2 linked regions of the Alligator mississippiensis genome follow. The protein of the gene in region 1 interacts with the protein of each later gene in a pairwise test. Links are inferred from orthologs where the notes say so. Each region holds a gene or a part of one and is shown in the gene's direction. Other genes may lie near its edges.

Region 1 (10,415 bases):
TATTAAATGATATAACAGTTGCACTCAAGGACCTGGAGGATGTCTGGCAGAGTTGCCCACTGTTCAGTATACCAGAGGACTTGAAGGTAGGTCAGTTCAGCCATATCTTTCAGCACATACCAACACTTCCACCAAGTGAAACAGGGCAATATTAAAAACTGATTCTAGAACTCTGCCTTTATCTAAAAATATTCAGAGGACAGTATTTCATGCTTGCATTCTGTTCTGTCATTTTATGTCAGGTAACATCATATGTAGACAGTGGGAAACAATTTCTTTCAAGCTTATCAAAAACCTTTTTTGTAGTAGTAGTAATAGTAGTAGTAATCAACATGCCTAAATGAACAGAGTATTTTAAATCCCATCTATCCTTTTGCTGTACTGTTTGAAAAATATATGAACTGTATATTTGGTGTTCATTTAGGCTGCAGGTAATACAGACTGAGGGAAGGATTCACCAGAGTGAACTGGGTGATGGATCATGATTTAAGACAGGAGGCCAGCTCCTTAGCAAGTATAAATGACACCTGTGCTAATTATAGCCAATGCGTGTTCAGGTCACCCTGCACTAAAGCTATGAAAAAATATATTTTGGGGGGGGGGGGTGGTCTCAGTTTCCCCTATTGAAGCTATTCCACCCTCCATGGAATACTTAAACAAATATTATGACAGAGAAAGAACAAGAAAGAGAGAGACTCATCTAGGAGATGGAACACTAGATTCCTATCATTGTTACAGATCATATATACCATATTCACCCAAATCCAAAATAACTTTGTATTTAAGGTGACCCTCCCCCCTCAATAATTAGATCCTATACATGGAAAATTACAAATCTGTTATAATTTTCCATGAATAAATCCTAATTAGTGGAAGGTTGTCTTAAATTTGTCTTTCCTACTGCTATGGCAGTGAAAGCAGCAGTGGGGGGAAGGGGCGGACCCCTGCACTTTGTTCCCCAGCTCCTTGCCCCCCTCCGTCCCCTACCTGCTCCCCCTTGCTTGTGCCTGCCCCCCTCCTCCACTCCCTGTCCATCTGCTTGCCCTTACTTTCTGCTGCAGCACCTCCAGGGCAGTCAGCAGTAGTGTAGCCCCAGCCCCAGGCCCTGCTTCCCGCACACCTCACATGGGAGAGGTACTTCCTCCCAAACATCCCCTTCACAGACACAACAGAATGGGTATCTCTTGTTCTTTAGCCATCACTTGGAACTTCTGCTGCTCACTTTTTTACAATGACTGCCTTTTCACATGCCAGGGCACATGTTTGGCTTGTAGGATCATATAGCAAAGTAGAAGTCAAGATGTTGTGCTGTAGTATGAACATGTACCACCTAATGGGCCCAGTACGATTCACAGAGTTGCAAACCACTTACTTTAGGGGCTACAGTTTAGCAACCACAAACAGGAGTAGGGTGGCCATCATACAGGACATTCCCGTTTTCTGCTACTCTGCCCTCTATTGATACGAAACCCAGTGCCTTTATGTCAAGAGAAAAATAGAGGACATAAAGGCATCGGGTTTCGTATCAACAGAGGACAGAGGACAACCAGACTGTCCTCTATGATGGTCACCCCACACAGGAGCTTACTGGACAGAATAAGGGAAACATGTTAGAGACTTAGGAAAACCAAATCAAAACTCCAACAATGTTAAATAAGACTTCCTGCCCTTACTGTCAACCAAAGTGCCCTAGCAATAGTCACAAACCCAACCCCCTTCTCCTTCTCCCTTAGCTGCAAGTGGCTGATGCAGTGTTTATCCCCTAACTTCCTCTTCTTCTTATGCCCTATTCACAGTTCACTGTCTAGGTTGGGAGAGTCTAAATGTGGGGTAGTCTGCCCCCTCACTACAGTTCCAGGTGCTGTACCACCAATCCCAGCTGCGAAATGGTCATTGGTCTGGTACTGGCACTCAGAGTCCATCAGTTGTTCTTGGCCATTTTATCCCAAGCAATCTTAGCTCCTCCAAACTGTTCCATGCCTAGCCATCTGGTGTCCACTTGTCACCTCAAAACTGCTTCTTTTGTTGCAACTCTACTTACCAGTTCTGCAGCAAGTCTGGCCATCCCCTCAGCGCTCTACTGCAGCATCTCAGCTCCTCAGAAAGGAGTCGAGAGCATGTAGGACCCCCCGCTCTGCCACAAAAGAAAGACTCCTGAGTGGAAGACTCGTCTTTCCTTCTCCTTACTTTACCCATGCTCCTTTACCCCACCATGTGAGGCTGCAGTCATTTTAAGGTGTGATGCTTTGCCTAAGTCACATTTGACATAGTTCTCTTTTCCATTTATTTTCAGATATGGATAACAGAATTTTATAAACCCAACTTCAAAATGTAACTTTATGTTAATGAAAACGCCCTAAATTGTCATATAACCAACATGCAAATGAGGCCTGGCTCCCAGCTCCCCAGAGATGCTGACAGAGGGCTCCTTTGCCCTGTAGGACTTCTGCCTGTCTGGTGGTCTCAGGGAGCTCTGGCCACTCTTCTCTCTGTTCTCCAACAGGTGTCAAGAGTTAGGTCCCTAACCTTTCAAAGCTCTAAGCAATAGGCTTTATATACAACTATTTATACAAACTGAGACACCATCACTGGCAACAGGAAAGACAGAAAGTAGCCCCCAACCCCAGCATGTAAGTTAGGACATATTCCAGAATATTCCGGAGAGAAGTGGACTCAAGTCTAGACAGACAGAAGAGAGGATTGTGGCTGCCTGCTGTAAGTGCTGGTTATTAGGTAAATTAGACAATAGTATCCTTATTTTTGTGAATGTAGCCCGAAACTTTATTCCAGCAAAACAATTGGAGACATTTGTCCTGAAGTTTGCAAATCATTTGGGGAGGATCAAAGGTGCAATTTTTGGTGAATATAAGTATCCACTAAAAAAAGACAATCTACTCAGTATCTCACGTAAATAGACTCTAATGCCAATTACCAAATCTTATTACTGCTTTGACACTGTTGGAAAATCATCAGCTCTGAAATGTGGCATTCTCTTGTTTTGACCTCAGTATATTTATACAGTAGGGCCACCTATATGCTTTGCTACCTTACTTCAAGCTGTTAAATAGCAAAATCCATATCTTTCCAAATGTTGTAGCCTTTCTAAACAATCTCTCTTAAGTACTTCAATATAATTGGGTGTTTTTTCCTACAAAAAAGGCTGTTTAATTTCCCTCCAACATTTTTCCCTTGGCTGGGGATTAGTATTCATAACCGAGTAACATACACAGCCCCTTCCATTTTCTTTTGGAATGTACTCAATATATTCTTTGAAACCTGATGAACTCTTGCTCTGTGGGATACATATGCAAGAAATATAGCAATAAATAGGAGGCTCACAACCAGAGCATATAGGCAGCCCTGATGTATAAATATATTGAGGTCAAAACAAGAGAATGCCACATTTCAGAGTCGATGATTTTCCAACAGTTTATTTTGCTATAGGTAAATATTAACTGGAATAGGATGTAACTGCTCCTTTAAGAAAACCAGGAAAAGCCTCCTGGCTAGGACCACTCACCCAGATTTTCCTGGAACAATTCTTCTAGGACAGGTGACATGGTCACCACGGTGGGGGAAGTGATCACAGATAAGCAGTCTGGAATTCATACTAAAGCATATGCTAGTCAGCTGTTTGTACCGTCTTGGGATTTCTGGTCATTTTCAGGCTTACATACACATGGAGGACAATTAAAATGTATCCGAGTAGGATTGTACATGTTAATCATATAGATGTCTCAGGGTACAGGTATACAGAAAAAAAAAGTTGTTCTTATGTTACTGACTGCTACTGAGTGCAGTTTGGGAAGAGATTCAGTCAACATGCATGAAATCAAGACTTGGAAAGCTCACAGACTCACTGAAATAAGGTCAAGAGTTCAGAAATGAATGTTTAACGCTAGGCACACTGAACTATCTGAAGTGATTTGATTTTCAAAAGTGAGTACTCAGGAGCTCCCATGGATTTCAGGTGCTTAATTGTGGCTTTAGGAGTCTAATTTTAGGCATTTCCAAAAACATGGTTTTTGAGTGAATGCAGTGTGAACATATGCTGCAATATCTATAAGATATAGCTTTGTGTCTTATGACAGCCATACAGGAGCAAAATAAAATACTTATATGTAATATATTTCTCTCTCATTTTGATTACTTACCAATCTATGCATAAAGGTCTTAATAAACACTTTGATATGGATTTACAAATTGTTGACCATTTTAAATGCTTAGCTTGCTTTCTTATTCTATACCTAATAAGCAGTTAATAAATAAAATGTAATTTCTCATTGTAGTACTGTAGTACATTCCTAAGAAACATAGTAATTACACATCAACTGAGATCATGACCTTGTCTCTGCTGATTCTTTTCCCTAAATACATTTTGCAAAATGTTGGGAAAGCTAAAAAATAAATATTGATGTATTGAAGCACAAGGTGATATTTGCTTTTGAATAAACTTAGCATGAAGATATTTGGAAATCCCTTTTCAGTAATGAGTACCTGAAAATATAGTCAATTTGAGAGACAGAAAAAGAAGTGATGGATTTTCTTTCCCTATCTACATAGATTAACGGATCCTTCTCACCAGTGACAATTGTTCTATGTTCATTAAAAAAAACCATCTACAGAGCAAAATGTATCAAGGATACAACAAATGGCATATATTAAAGTTTTAACACATAATTAGGATGACCATGTTTCCTAAGTCTCAAAACAGGACAACTTGAAAAGTGTGTGTGTGGTTGGGGGGGGGTTACCCTAGCGCTTCCTTTTCAACGGTTCGCTGGCATTCTGCATTACTCTGCCCCACTCCACCCTGTAAGTCTCCACTATGTTTAGCTGTATCCAAGCTATGGTCTTAGGTGAGAGGCTGGAGAGAAGTGTGTTGTGGGATGTCGAAGGATTAGCAGTTGCCCTATCACAGTTCCAGCTAGAGAGCACTGCCACTGCTGCATTCCAGCTGAAAATGGGACAAAAGCATTCATTCCACCAAACCAATTGGATCCCAAGGACACTTATTTAAAATGGGACGTCTGGGGGAAAAACAGGATGTATGGTCACCCTATATATCATGCCCATGGCAGGATCACAATAAATCATCCTTCGAAAGATATCTTCCATACTCTGGAAATTGTTCAGTATAAATACTGCAGCAAAGGAAATGATTCTAGCATTTTTCTGACCGCTATACTGTGCTATATGTATATCAGAAATATAAAACGATGGATTTTTATGCTGTGCCTAAAACAAGTATTTATAGAGTTACTTTACTACATAGAACAATAAGAGGACTCAATTTTAAATACTTTTTAAATAGGTTTTAAAGTTTCTAAATAACCTGATAACTTCAAGGGCCTGTATGATGGTTCATTAAAAATGTTCCTATTTGTTTTAGATTGTTAAAAAAACCCATATCGTTGCTCGGCATTAGACTACCATACACGGAGTAAATGATTGTTTAATCACTACATTGATGGAAACCTGGAGTTCTGAATCATCATTTTAGTTTCTCAAAGAAATGAAAGAGCTGTGATCCAAGCTATAACTTTCAGCCAATCACATAAAGACAAATCAGCCTTCAGGCAAATCAGGAGTCTTGATTTAAGCTTACCTGGACTTGGCTCTTTGCCCAGTTGTAAAAATCTCTGTTAAAAACACTGCAAAATTCATATTAGCATGTTTCCATTTTTGCACATTGTCATTGCTATGAAAGACTGAATATCAAATAGGCTGCTGATTAAAACTAATTGATCCTGAAAATGTTTTTCTTTATTAAAAAAAGGGGAAGTTTAGCTCCCTGGGGATACTATTCAAATACAGAGCTCGTGGGTGGAGTTGAGGTGTGCCAAGGTACATAAGTAGGCATTATGAGCCCTAGAGGTTCACAATGAAACTTGGAACACTTTCATAACTCTTCAGACAGGTGGGAGAGCAAACAAGGTAAGGCTGTGAGCACTGGCTTAGAAATGTACCTGTTAGAATCCTGTGAGCTTTATGTTCAGGTTACTTATTACTGCAGCAGGTAACAGACAGAAAGCAAGGAATGGAGCAACTTACAGTTGAGCTCGCCATGGGGGAATAGATGGAATAATGCTGTCTCTTCATGTTAAAAGAATTAGAATGATTTTTTTTAACAGCTTAGAATGACTATACCTAGCTTTGCACAGATGCTGCTTTAGGTGTAGTGCTTCTTGGCCTTTACTTTCAGTTCTGCATCATCCTGAGATTTGTTTGTTCTTGCTTTTCCTGGTTGGCCGGCACCCCTTTGTTCTTTTTAAAGGAGACCTTCATCTGTACTGATCTGATTAAACTATCTTTAGAATCTCCAGTGGGCTTCTAAGCAAGACTCATTCAAACCTCGTCCTTTCAGAGAACAATTTTTTTTTTTTTAATGTAAAGGTCAGTGTATGTCCAAAACCTGGTACTGCATTTTGCATGGCTCTGAAGCTGTGATTACATAGATAGTCAGGGTCTACTGAGCATTACAACGGCAAAGAATGCTGTACCATTTATTCAGCCTGAGGAAAGCAAGTCCTCCCAGGGCTTCTGGCAAAGCGAGGCTGAATGGTATCACATTTCCACTTTTCTAACCTGCATTTTAAAAGGTGCTTATGCACCCACGTTGATGTTCCTATGCTTTAGAATGTCTGCTTACCTTAAGCTTTTCTGTGTACCTCTTAGCTCAGTATCCTAGCATCCAGTGACAAGTGAATGAGAAAGTTGGATCATGCTAAGTGAATTCACTGGCAGAATCATTTCATTTAGAAAACTGAGAAACATGTCATCTAACATGACCTGCTTCATTCTCACTCGTACAATTGGGCAGAGGAAGAGATTTCAGTAGCAAAGCATCCCTGGAAGTGATACATTGCATTTCTAAACCAATCCTCAGTGTTCTAAATGAAACCATTATTTCTTGAAAACTGTATTATTGTGTGGCTTTAAGGGAAAGATTTAGAGAACAATATTAGAATTCAAGACATATTTTGAAGGCTTTGGCAAGTAACTCCCTGTAACTTCATTGTTTCATTTGCAAAACTGAGGAAATGACCTCCTCAACCTAACTTCCCTGAACAAAACACTTGGGAAGTGCTTAATTTTTGCAGTGATGGATTTTATAGAAAGGTCTCAGAAATACTTATTATTATTTGCAAAAGCCTTTATATTCTAACATGATGGGTATTATAGAAAATGCTGAACTTCCATTGTTTCATTGAGCTAATTCAGTATTTGTAGTACTGTCAAGAAAAACAGGAGAGGGAGTAAAAGAGATATAGCATCAAAGTGGGTCTCTAGGCTGACTACATCTAGATGAGATAAGCTTATTTAAAACTGGCAACAAGTAACTTAAAACAAAATTATACCAGTTCCTGAGATATTAAAAAATATTTGCTAAACCAGTCTGACTATTCATTACATTTTTAGGAACACAATCTACCTATAGCAGTTCATTCCAGCAGTGACCCAGCCCTGATATATTTTTATGACTTAACTGTAGACTGAGAGCTTATATGTAGCACCCTCTTAAACACTTATCCAGTTAGAAGTGTGAAAAATGGCAGCATTATAAATGTCAATTATCTTTTTCAGCACTAGTCATGGAGAAGAATTATATTTCAATGTTCCTGCTGCTTGTTGCTGTTGCCTATACCCTTGCTAAAGATTTTGGGGCTAAGGACAAAAAGGACACACATGAGTATAAACCAAAATTGCCTCAAACTCTCTCCAGAGGTAAAATGTTGTTCATTCTCACTGCCCTACTTCCATAAGAATCTTTAACCCTTTAATCTCCTAATATTTATTCCTCTTGCATTATTAATAGTTCCTTGACACTTTGCTCTTTTCCTTTCAGCTACCTATATTTAAAAAAAAAACAGTCTCTTGCCACTTGAAATACACTTTCCTGATATTTTTTCTACAAGTCATTTTGTCTTCATTGCATTTAAATTCCCTTTTGGCAAGACATTCTCAAAGTAGTTCTCAGTAGCCTTTATGTTTACACTTGACCTATAAAATAGTTTTCTCATCGCCAACAACTTTGACAGTGACTCCTCTTTGTCATTTGCCTTTAGGTTGGGGTGATCAGCTGATCTGGACTCAGACTTATGAAGAAGCCTTGTTTAGAGCCAAGTCTGGGTAAATCAACTTTACCTATTCTTTTGATAGGTTTCAATGGCGCCATCTAGTGTGATATCTATATTTACATGAATAATAGCAAGAAAAGAGAAGTTGCCAGAACTTAGAAATGTGTCCATTTATTAACTGATTTTACAGTCTAAGATGTTTTTCCACATAAGTACTGGCTTTAAGATTGGTAATAGTAAAAATCTGAAATAAGACTTCTTCTGTTTCAGTAACAAACCCATATTGATTATTCATCATTTAGAGGACTGCCCACACAGTCAAGGTAAGTTTTGAGTAGAAACATCTTGCTTTACACCTTTATATTGCTAAAAAAACACCCGTTTTTCTTCTAAAAACACCTCATTGAAATACTAACCTAAGCAAGCAACCTGTGTTGCTTTCAGAATTGCAGACATTTTAATCTTGTGCAGTACAGGTTCAAATCATGATACATTAGCTTTCAATTTTGTGAGAATGATGCAAATTTAATCTAAGGCTGGGAATAAAGGTGTTGAGAAAGTGTTATTTCTAGAGATGGACTGAGCAAGATGCATGCAATTCTCACTCCTGATCAAAGTTACCATTTACAATGGGATGCAGACATGACAGTGTAGAAATTTCAAGTTCTAAGAGATTTCTGCCATATTGGGGACATCTGTTTTCTCAAGACTTCCAGCCATATTCATACTAGAGCCCTAATGCAATAAGTCATCTATATGATTAGTTCCTATTACTCATGAAAAGCCCTCCATTTCCTTGGAGATCCCTGTGCACCTAACGGACCATCCAAACAATTCAGTTTTGAGAACAGCCCTCAACCTGTAAAGTTGTAAACCAAACCAGAACTAACTTCAGAGTGTTTGGCTTAGACTCCTCTTAGGAGTGAGAATTGCCTGCATCTTTCTCAGTCCATATCTAGAAATAACACTTTCTCAACACCTTTATTCATATGCACAGTTAGAAAGAGTTTAGACTACAGGAACGCAGTTTTGTGCCACTTGCCTTTGTTACTTAAGGTCTGTTCCAGCTACTGTTCACCAACACGCTAAAAGAAAGGCACCTACAGCCTTTTCAGCTGGTCACTATAATCGTTTTCTAACTTGAATTCAGGGTTTGAACTACAAGGGAGCTCATGGGGGCTGAGCCCTGCCGTAAGAGATGAGAGCTCTCCTGTAAGATTTGAAAATCATAACTTGGGGGGGGGGGGGGGGTCTGATTTTATTGGGGTATTGTGATGGGCCGCCTAATTTTTTTTGCAGACCCCTGCAAGAGTCAAAGTGTAATTTGAACCCTGCATTGGATGTGTATATTATAGCATGGAGAATCCACCAATCACTCCAGATCTGACTCTGTATTGTTTCTTGACAAAGATAAATGGTTAATTTCCTTCCTGGCTTTTGTTTTTTTTTAACAATCATTCGCATCTATGTTCTAGCACTGAAGAAAGTATTTGCTGCACACAAAGAAATACAGAAATTAGCTGAAAAGTTTGTTCTTATTAATCTTGTTGTAAGTATTCAGCTACACTTTATTAAAGCTCTCTTTTATAACACTGTCTGGAACCAATAAACTTCCATCTTTATAGTGTCTTGGATAAGGTTAATGTTTGGCATCACTTGCCAAGGGGAAATGACTATGCTGCAATAGGGATAGATTTAGCAATAAATCTTTACCTATTATAATAATATATAATGACTATAAAATATTTATACCAATAAAACAATTAATTATGAGATGCCTTGCAGTTATAGCATTGTTCTCTCATTAATGTATTCCTCACATATTAAAACATAATCTTTAAAATGAATTTTAATTTTATAGCCACCAAATTATGAACTGGAAATTAAACGTTCTGTTTATATTACCTATACAGCATGACTAACAGCACTCTTGATTTAAAACCTTATCATTTATTCCAGTATGAAACAACAGACAAGCATCTTTCACCTGATGGCCAGTATGTCCCTCGAATTATGTTTATTGGTGAGTACCTGGCACTCTCAAAGAGGCTCAAGAATAATGCTATCTATTGTAAAGCTGCAGAGACTAGGTTCTGTAATGTGACAAAAACATAAAACCCTCAGCATTATTAATGGGAATTAATTCAGCAGGAGAATGGAATCTTTATATTTGATTTGCTGGGATGGATGAGAAAAACCAAAAAGAGTGACACGTTGGGTATTATTTTGGAAAAGGCTCACATAGTAATAAAGAAAAATGTATGACTTACGAAAAATAGAATAATGCATTCCATAACAGAGATCAGTAAGCAAACGAGGATTGTAGATCAACTT
Region 2 (10,280 bases), on another chromosome or scaffold:
TTATGCGGCTCCCTAGGGCTCTGGGTGAAGTAGGAGCTGGGAGGGTGGGGGGAGGGCATGACCCTCCTTGGCTCCTCTCAGCTACCTCCCGCTCCTAACTAGTGCCCTCCCACTACAGGCTCCACTTACCTCCCAGCTCCATGCTGGGGGTGAGATCAGGGTCTGCCGGAGGGGTCCACCAGGGTCCTTTGCTCTTGGGGGCATAACGGGCTTGCACCCATGCGACCCTGCCAGAGAGCTGTCTCAAACTGAATTGAACAAATGAGGTAATCCCTATGTATAAAAATGAATGAACATTGATCTAAGTGCTCTAAGTGTGTCAGATCTTTGAGGCAGATTTAAACAGGATCCTTGGGCACATCTACATGTGATGTTAACTGCTCAGTAGCATGCAGGGCAAAAACCATGTAATATACTACCTGACAGTACTATTAAGGGCGTGTGAAGATGAAACGACATTTCTTGTTTACACCAACGCAATTGTGTTTGTGTTTGCATGACCCAGGATGTCCTCCTGCTCTAAAAATCCACTTCGAGCCTTTAACTAAGACTACTCGGAGATGAGTTATTATGCGACGCTCCCCAGTTACACTGCCCCAGCTATGGATTTGTTCATTCAAACAGACAGGCTCTGAAGACTTCTAATGAATCCCCTTTGCCATGAGGTGGCGCTGTGTTCCAGCCTTTAGCCAGCAGGTGCCACTGTGATTTTTTTTTTTTTTTACCCTTGTTCACTCCTCACCCCTCACTCACAGCACACAGTGGAGTGGCCACAGGTTCAGATCAGGTCTGCAAATTACTATTTTTATTGTAACAAAAAGAAATGGGGGAGGAAGCCAATATTCTCTTAATTTACTACCCCCTCTTAATTCTTCTGCCCCCCCGCCACCTATAGTGTATGTCCTCCTGCCCCCACACATACCCTCCATCTGTGCCCCCCACACCTCCCGCCATGTGGGCATAGCTCCTGATGACAGCTGCAGCAGCAACACTGTAATGGTAAGTTTTCTGCAAGTAGTTTGAAACTTTGGAGTGAGTGTTTACATGATTTCCTTCAACACTGCAAACCTTCTGAACTTCATCACATTCCATTTCAGAACCACGACCAAAAGTCCAGGGGCAGGACACTGCCTACCAGACCCAACGCCCAGCATATGCAGTGTCCCAGGTGATATTTAGGTAATAGGTAATATGTCCCACCAACCTTCAACCTTGTGTGTTGAGGGGGGCAAAAGTCCAGTTTTTCAACTGTGCTCCAAACCCTTCTCCTCTTCCTCTTCTTCCTTTTTCCCCCTCCCTGCAGAAAACTTTCATGGGAGGAACTCGCTAGGGGCCGCAACCAGTAAAAATAAAAATAAAGAGAGTGGAAGACTATATTGTGCAGATTTGCAGTTGTTATTTTTGTATTTTATATATTTTTTTATACTTTATATATATTTTATATTGTGAAGGTACTGGGGAGGAAGAGCCCCCTTTTTTATAATATTTTATCCTTATTTATTTAAAATCTACACTACTGCACAGTTAGCATCACTAAAAAGCCATGCACCAGTGCTACTGCACAGTAGCACCAGTTACTGTGCATTGATTTAGTACTTGGTTATACAAGTACTAAACTTAATGTGCAGTAACTATGACACATTAATGAACCCCTTTGGGGTTTAGATCTCATGAGGAGAAAGTTCAGCAGAGACTCAAAGCAACAACCTATAGGGGACAGTACAGAGTGCAACTGATATTTGACCACAGGCAGGTGGGTTTGGTTTGGATCTTCAGCTTCACCTGTGAGAAAAGTCAAAGATTCCTGGGTGGCACAAAAACAAAAGCCTAACTGGAGTGAGTGCCTGGGAGGAAGAGTGCACCCACAAGTGCAATGTGTTGAGAAGAAAAGTCTATCTGGGGCACACAGGAGTTTTGGTGAATCCTGAACCCATTTTAATTATCTCTACCATTCCCATGATTTAGAAAGTTTAAGGCGCTCCTTTTTAAAATGGTCAGGAGGCTACATGGGAATAAGATAGATCTGGAAACCCATGGTTTTCCTACAAACCATGCAAAAAAAAAATGGTGAGAGATCTTTATCAGGTATCTCACCGTATCCTGAAATAACCCTTTTTTTATCCAGTAGATATCTGGGAGAGAGAACTTTTGAACTTTTTGAATTTTTGACACAAACTTGACAGAGCAGCTTTGAGAAATTCTGCTGAACACCCAATGATCTGAAGTTGAATAGGCACTAGCCAAAATAAAATCACCAGTTAGCTGCACCTCATCCTGAAGCATTGCCTGACATTAATATTTAGCTCCTGCAAAATATCATTAATTCTCCCAGTAGGAAATCAAAAGTGAGAAACTGACATATACCTCTGACATAAAATAAAATTAAATAATGCTTTTTTGGGGGGAAGTGGTGGGTTAGGTCTAAGAAGTCATCTTTATCCACCGCAAAAGGCAAAACAAATATTTCTTAATTTTAGTTTCTTAGGATACCAGTTCATTTCTGTGGGAGCCTGGGACACTGTAAAACCAGGCAACAGCTTTCTCAAAGAGGGGAGAGAGAGAGCAATGCATACGCAGGAAGTAGGCATCTAGCCCAAAATTCTCAAACAAACTGCTGATGGTCTGTCTCCTGCCTGGCCTTCATATGCACCCTAAAACATGTGAACCAAATGTTCCATTGGTCCCATGGAAGACTATATTCAATTCTGCTGGTATTTAGAAAAAGAATAAACTTCTACTTTTCTGCATATAAAAGTACTTTAAATGTTAAGCATTGCAATACAGATGAAGTTGAGATTGAAGAAAATAATTGCACATTTTTCTCTTTATTGAATTTAACAAAATTCAGTAATAGTTGAATCATTATGGCAAAGAAAATGAAGTTAATAATTTGTTAGCCAACAATAAAATGAGTATGAACTATAACTGGACACAAGGAATCTGTAACAATAAAACACTATATATAATATATGGAGATTGATAATTTCAAAGGTCAAAGAAAAATCGTAATATAATAAAAAAGATAATGAGAACATCTTATTGCAAAGAGGAGTAAGTTATCATTCAAGGATCAGTTAGGTTTTGTAATAACAGCCTCTGACCTCAAGCCAGGCGGTACAGCGGAACTGATCTGGGGGGGAGCAATCTGCCCCTGTTACATCCTTCATGATCAGCGGTTTTCAAACTTTTTGAGCTGAGCCCCACCTTTCAGTTACAATTTTATTTGTACCCCCTACCCCCATCACCCCAGAGGAACACCACAGCCAGGCACAGGGCACCCCTCATTCTAGGAACTACTTGGCTCGGTGGGCTCCACCTGCCACAGCTCCAGCGCATCCTGCCTTGGCCCTGCTGCAGGTCTAGGTTGCATGCCTGCCACCCCAGGCTCCCCGAGGCACAGCAGCCCGCTGGCAGAACCTACCCGGGTCTCCCGGTCCCTCATCCCCCTGGCAAGGCTGTAGTTACCAGTTCCTTCCAAATTTCTTGCCTATACCCCCTTAACATTCCTTCATGCCCCCCCGGGGGGGTGAGCCCAACAGCTTGAATACCTCTGTTCTAAATTTATTTCCCTAGAATAAGGAAGGAAGGCAGGAAAGGAATTGTCTCTCTGCTAATTCCAAAACCTTTCCTTAGGTAGTGCAGTCCTTTAGGGTGAGATATACTGTCTCAGTCTTGTCCTAAATGCCAAAACGATGGATTCTCAGTGCAGGAAATGAGTTTTAAAGTCTAATATTTTAACTACTAAAAGCATCTTTTCTTTTCCTATCAAAAGGAAACAGATTTTTTTTCAAAGTTTGCAATGGGGCATTTTACACTAGTGCTATGTAAATTGCATGTGAAAATTACTATAGAGATCTAAATGATGTCTTATATTTAGGACAGTGTATGCCTGCCCCATAACTTTGCATTTGTCTATTCCCTAAGACCATCAAAACTGTTTTCTTTTTACTTTGTTGGAGGAAATAGGGGGGGGGGGGGGGGGGGAGAATGTTATTTGAGTTAATTTTATTTTCTTCTCTGGTAGGTTAGCTGAATTAAGACACTGGTTATGAAGTAAAACTGACTGGGGTTTTCCTTTGGTATGGCTGTCCTAATAGCTTTCTTGATTCATTTGACATTAAACTTTTAATAAAAGTTCTGTCCAAGCTGCAATCTGCAGTGCTAGCAAAATGTCAGCTCCTGCAATGACAGCTGGCATTGTTACGATTCTGTGTGTAGGGGGAAGTCCATTACCTTGTGTAAAGCCAGAGTTCAGTCTGGTATCATGGAGTTAGACCTTCCTGGAGTTAACACTTAGCCAGCACCCCACACTTGAACAGTGGTGTATGACTCAAACGTTTGGTGAAAACAATTGCTGGCATCCTATATAATCTCAGTTTAGTCTTTACAAAACCCTCTCATGTACCACATTCAACTTGTGTGCTATAAATGCATGTCTGGGTCTCTGTGTGTACAGAGCGCTCGCTATCCCCTCTGGGTTTCTGTGCCGCCTCCTGATCCCCATCAGTTCTCTCTAAAACTGACCCCATAAAGGCACACTCAGACCTCATAGTTATCATGAGTATTTCATAATGCTTACACATTTGACGTGTCTTTCATGCATTTCCAGGCTGTGAGCATGTGTATGACTGAAAAAGCCTCTCCTACAAAATACCCTATTATTTCTTGAGCTGCAAACCAGGAGACCATGAATTTGACAAAATCTATTGATTATTTCTTCGCTGCCATAGTAGTAATTATTCATAGTGAAGTAAGTCTATTGCAGCCTCCACACAGGGAGATGTTTCAACATTCAGCTGTGAAACCAGGTGACATGAGTTCAACAGTGGATGTTCCAGATGTGATCTACTTTATCTAGTACGTGTTTTCTCTAGCCTTTTGCTCTTTGGAGCGTGGAGAATACTGTAATGGGGAGAAGCACAGTAAGGCTAACTGGTGGGTCAGTCCCATAGAATCACAATGTTTGTAACCATGATAGTCCAGGGAATATGCAAGAAGCAAGGTTTATTTGGTAACATCTTTAATTGGCACTGCTGTGTAGTTGGGAGAGATGGCATGAAACTCATCTGACATGTCTTGCAACTATATACCTGGTCCAATAAATGTAGCCAACTGCATCAGAACAACAAGGTATTGGCTCGCTTGAATTCTAGGAGGGAGCGTTAGTATAGTAGTAGGGGGGCTGCTTTTCAAATGTGTCTTTACAGGCTTTTCAAAAACAGCCTCTTTTTCCTAACACTACGTTGTGCCTTTCAGGGCATCATCACCTTTGCAATTAACCATGAATTAAAGTACAGGCCTGGTTCCTTTGTGACTCCATCAGTCAAATGCTTCTTGCCTCACCCATGAACAGGTGGCCCACTTAAACAGTCAGCATAGTAGTAGAGCAAGCAGGATTTGACAGCACATACAAAACTCTCGGTGAAATCCAACAGAGTTGGCTGTATGCAGCAGCTATTGAATTGTGTCAATGTCTACAGATGTACAAACACAGCAATTCTGATAGGTCACCAACCAGTGCCATTTAGGATGGCATTGAAAATCTCTTCCCTTCTCAACCTGGATCAGTATAAACATGAGATATGGACAACAAATACTGCTCAGAATGAAACTTGATGGAAAAATACAGGCCGCAATTCAATAATTGTCATGAGCACAGCACAGGTGGCTACAAATGAATAGGTAGTTTCCAAAATAAATATTTTGCAAGAACTCAATAAATAGCTCTTTCTACTTACTTCTTCCCTTTGCTAGTTATACATATATTGAATAGTTTCCAATCACAACCCATATTAGCATTTGAGTTTAGGTTTGTGTATGGTTGCCCGAATAAACGTTTGGTTTATTTTCTTCAGTACATAAAGGCACACCCAGAAGCATAAGGTTAATATCAGTAATACATTTTCTTAATACATTCGCCCCTAAATCCTTGTCTTTCCTGGCTTGCTGATTTAAACCACTACTGTAGTGTCATTTATAAGTTAATTTAGTAACTATTATATGCAAAAGAAAGAACAGTACAGATATTTTCATCTTTTGGGAAGAGGGATTTGGTGAGGTGGAATAGGGAGAGATCTTTATAGGTCACCTGAATAAGCTACAATGACTTGACCTTGAGGAGGTCATGTGACCATTTGAGCTTTAGCCAGCCACATCATCCTGTAAATTGTTTGCAAGATAAGACAGAATATATATTCCTGTTGCAAATCTGAACTACATCTCAGGTTGAGCAGAAGCACCACAAGAAATCTCCCTTTTTGATCAGAAAAATGGCATTTGATGGCACCTGGAAGGTAGACAGAAGTGAAAACTATGAAAAGTTCATGGAGGAGATGGGTAAGCTTTACTGTTCTATTATGTCACAGAAAGATAATTCTAACTACAACTATTTAAGAGCGATTGTTGAATGCTGGTGATGCCCTCCTTGTCCTCCTTTCAATTGCCTTTTAGTGTTCCTGCTCATTTGCTGACTGTCTAATACTGCCTTTTAACTTCTCGGCCTAGCAAATTCACCTCCAAATTTTTCAGCTTTTTCCCTCTACAGCTAATTTCCAGTGTAAGTTTTGGATCTCAGGTACACTGGAGTAAATACAGAGTAACTCTGTCAATGCAAGCAGAATTATTCCATTTACTTTGGCATAAATTGGGAATTCTCTTACTTTACTAAATTTACCTGAAAAATCTATAGAACTAAAAAAAACCCCAATACCTTTTATATAGGACTGTACAGCAAGGATATGATTTTCTGTCTATAGTTTCATTAAATATTACAAAGGCAGACATGTTATCTTAAAAGCTACAGGTTTTTAAGTAATTTCCAAAAGTCCTATTTAATTTCTGTAAATCTCACTTGATTTCAGCGCTATTAAATTCTATATGTTTCCCTAAGGATTAGATGGTAAACATTGCAGATTACTGCAGAGGAACTCATTGAAAGACACAGTTCCACAATAACGTGCCAACTGGTAAAGAGATGTAACAGATGCACCTAAAACTGGGCTTTCAGATTTGGAAGCTGCTTTTGAAAATGCCTGCAGTTACAAGTGGTGGTTGGTTTCAGTCTCTGGGAGGTTGGAGTGGGAATCATCTTCTGCAGTTTACAAAAAAGGAGAGACTAGTTTCCAAATGACTATTTAAATTGAAATGTATTTCCAGTTACTTTATTTAAATGTTGTGATTTGCAATGGAATTAAGAGTTTAAGTCATTTGTGATGAAATTAAGAGCTTAGGAAAAAGAAAATAACAACTGGTCTCATGGCTGTAGAAACAGAAACAGTGCCCAAGTCACTTCAGGTGTGAACCCAACTGAAGTTACTGGGAGTAACGTTTGTTTATGTCTGGAATGAGTTTGACCTTTATAACTCATGGGAAATGTTCACATGAAGAAACAGAGAGCAGAAAATCTAGAAATTAGAAACCTGGAGATGAGTGAGATAGTAAAATAGAGAATAAGTTCCACGGGCCTGAATAATTCAACAAAGGGACTGATTTTTTCACTGCCTTATCCTGGTAGAGATCTTTAATCTTTTGCAAAATGAATGCAAGTTAAGAGATAAAACATAGTTATTCTGATCTGAGGGAGTCCTGCACTAACTTAACTAACAATAAATTCATCCCCCATTGGACCTGATGGTATAGATATGTATTTAATTTGTTTCTTTCTGATTGTTTTTCTAGGTGTTAATGTAATGAAGAGAAAGTTAGGAGCTCATGACAACCTGAAAATCATTATTCAGCAAGAGGGAAATAAATTCACTATCAAAGAATCAAGTACTTTCCGTTCCATAGAAATAGTATTCACGTTGGGAGTTGAATTTGAGTACAGCCTGGCTGATGGGACTGAACTCATTGTAAGAGGCTCACTTTCATATGCTGGACCTGTACTTTTACTAAAGTTATCTCTGGAATTAATGGTTTATTTAGCTTTCTGATTTTATGTAAAACTTGACTCTATGTAAAGTGTATTCATGTAGCAGAGAGCAGAATTTGGCCTCCAACTTAATGTTTATATTTTCACTATAAAAATAATCTAATCCTCCAAAATGAGCAGTGCTGTCTAATTTAGGTCATGTTGAGCCTGCAGTCAAGATGTAACTGCAGCTTGTACTGATAACAGGATAACCTCAACTGCACCAAGTTTAGCATAAGCTACAAAGCCTGCCTGAGAAGCTTGGTATGCACCTAATGAGCCTGCACTGAACTCTGTGCTACCAGAGTTACTGCCAGCAGTACCTGAGTTGGCTTGTTTAAAGCTAGATCATGCGTATCTACATAAGCTATTGTCAGAGCAGTGACTTCACTGTGGACATAGCCATAGTGTGAGCTAAACTAATAAAAGTATATTACAGCTGTTTTTAGCAACTACACAGCTTCGGGAAAGTGTCAAAGTCCTGACATTGAACACTGGAAATCCTTTGTGACTGGGGTACTTCCCTCCATGTAATGGGAAATGAAAGGTGGGTGGTTATTTGAGAGGCTGCACTCGTCTCTGTCAATGAAAGAGGCAGACTTATTTGTATTTTACTGGACCTGATGATCCTTCAGGGTCCCTTCCAGCCCTATGATTCTATTCATCAAATTAAATATATATACTAAACCTACAAATCATACCAAATGTTCTGTACCAGAACATGCTCCAAAATTCCCACTGAGTCCATGAAAAGAGACTATTGCTCAAATTTGAAAAAAATGGTTTCAAATTGGTGTACTCCCAAAATATTTAGGGAGCTAGTTTGTGTGCAGCACCATGTGAACACAGCTATTATAACTGCAATGGGTAGCGGTGTAAACAACTTCTGGTTTGGGAAGTCTGGGTAGTATTTGGCACTGTCCTGGATTTTGTTCCCTAAAAGCTGGTCACTTTACCAGTACCCTGATCTCAGAAGAAAGAAAACTTCTATCAATTTAATATATATGTATAAAAATAAGTATTCAAACTAGAAGAAATCTGGAAATTTCTTGGAGTTGGAAAGTCGGTAAAATAGTTTCAGTGTATCTCCATTTTACAGGACTATTGACAGTATGCAAAAATATTCAATTGCTTTAACTCCTTTTAATGCTTTTAACAACATTTTAACAGTCCTGCCATATGTATATGAGTCAATAGTAATACAATTTTCTTGGATTTTTTTGTTTTTTTTACATTGTAGGGTTCCTGGAACATGGAAGGAAATAAGCTTGTGGGAAAATTCAACAGGAAAGATAATAAGAAAGAACTGAAGGCATTCAGAGAAATAGTAGGCGATGAACTAGTTCAGGTAAGTTAAAAAGCAACTGGAGGTTTTTTTGGTTAATGTAAAATATCAAACTATAATGAATTCAGACCTATGTTAAAACTAGCTGAAAAATGAGAAATGTATGTAAGATCTTTTTTGTTCTAAAAATGCCCGACGTTTGTTCAACATCTGCCATTTTTAAATTAAAGATCCACTGGAATTTCAAAATTTACAGATTAAACATGGCCATTTTAAAAAATATTATCGTACCCATGTGGATTAAATTCAGTGCATGTGTTCTAAGTCAGTGGTGCTCAACCCTCCAGCCTCCGAGGCCAGTAGTGCAGGCTCAGCTGCATCCTTTGGGTGAGGTTGGTCTGCTGGCCTGATTCACTGTAGAGAAGCATGTGGGGTCAGTCTGAGAGTGTGACACTGCGCCAGCCTGAATACAGGTTGGAAGATTTTCAAAAAAAAGGGAAAAAAACCCCACGGTTCCAACCTTCAGTCTTTCTATTTGCTTTTGATGGAACTACTCACATGAGTGAGCTGGGGTTACTGTTAAAGTAGCAACAGGAGTGCACCCTGATATTGTAATGCCATGATAGATAATAATGTGGGATCTGTGAAATAAATCTTAGAGGAAGAAGCCACTGATAACAACTCTTTTTTTTCATTAAACTTTACAGATTTATATATATGAAGGAGTTGAAGCCAAGAGAATCTTTAAAAGGGGTTAAGAATCAAGCCTAAGATGGTAGTCCAGGACAAACCAGAAATCTGGTGGAAGAATTATATTATACATGACAACTGTATGCATACAGACCCCCCAAGCAAACACCAAATTATTGGTCACTCATCCCTGATGTAAAAACAGCCATTTTCAGTCTTGTCAATATTAAATAAACAGAAAATAGGTGTATTTGCACTACAGATTGATACCTGTTTAGATATGTAGCATGTTTAAATGCTGCAAGAACTATTTTCATTTTGTAAATAAAAATATTGTTTCTGCACTGACAGTTAAGTTGTGATTTGTTTTCATTGCTGCAAGGTGTACGTTGCTGC

What was found. The genes of interacting proteins can lie anywhere in the genome.
Region 2: the proteins of AGR2 (region 1) and FABP2 interact in binary tests that used the Homo sapiens proteins (3 or more experiments, as listed by UniProt). The two-hybrid records come from large-scale screens. The link is inferred for Alligator mississippiensis from reciprocal best matches to the Homo sapiens genes AGR2 and FABP2.

What each region holds. Positions count from the first base shown.
Region 1 is NC_081828.1:163,709,183-163,719,597, forward strand, and holds the start of AGR2 (anterior gradient protein 2 homolog), read left to right. Parts: upstream 1-5,837; 5' UTR 5,838-5,937; intron 5,938-7,587; 5' UTR 7,588-7,595; coding exon 7,596-7,728; intron 7,729-8,069; coding exon 8,070-8,133; intron 8,134-8,351; coding exon 8,352-8,404; intron 8,405-9,556; coding exon 9,557-9,630; intron 9,631-10,040; coding exon 10,041-10,104; intron 10,105-10,415. UniProt on the Homo sapiens protein: Required for MUC2 post-transcriptional synthesis and secretion. May play a role in the production of mucus by intestinal cells. Proto-oncogene that may play a role in cell migration, cell differentiation and cell growth. Promotes cell adhesion.
Region 2 is NC_081825.1:120,594,864-120,605,143, forward strand, and holds FABP2 (fatty acid-binding protein, intestinal), read left to right. Parts: upstream 1-5,908; 5' UTR 5,909-6,269; coding exon 6,270-6,336; intron 6,337-7,677; coding exon 7,678-7,850; intron 7,851-9,149; coding exon 9,150-9,257; intron 9,258-9,901; coding exon 9,902-9,952; 3' UTR 9,953-10,208; downstream 10,209-10,280. UniProt on the Homo sapiens protein: FABPs are thought to play a role in the intracellular transport of long-chain fatty acids and their acyl-CoA esters. FABP2 is probably involved in triglyceride-rich lipoprotein synthesis.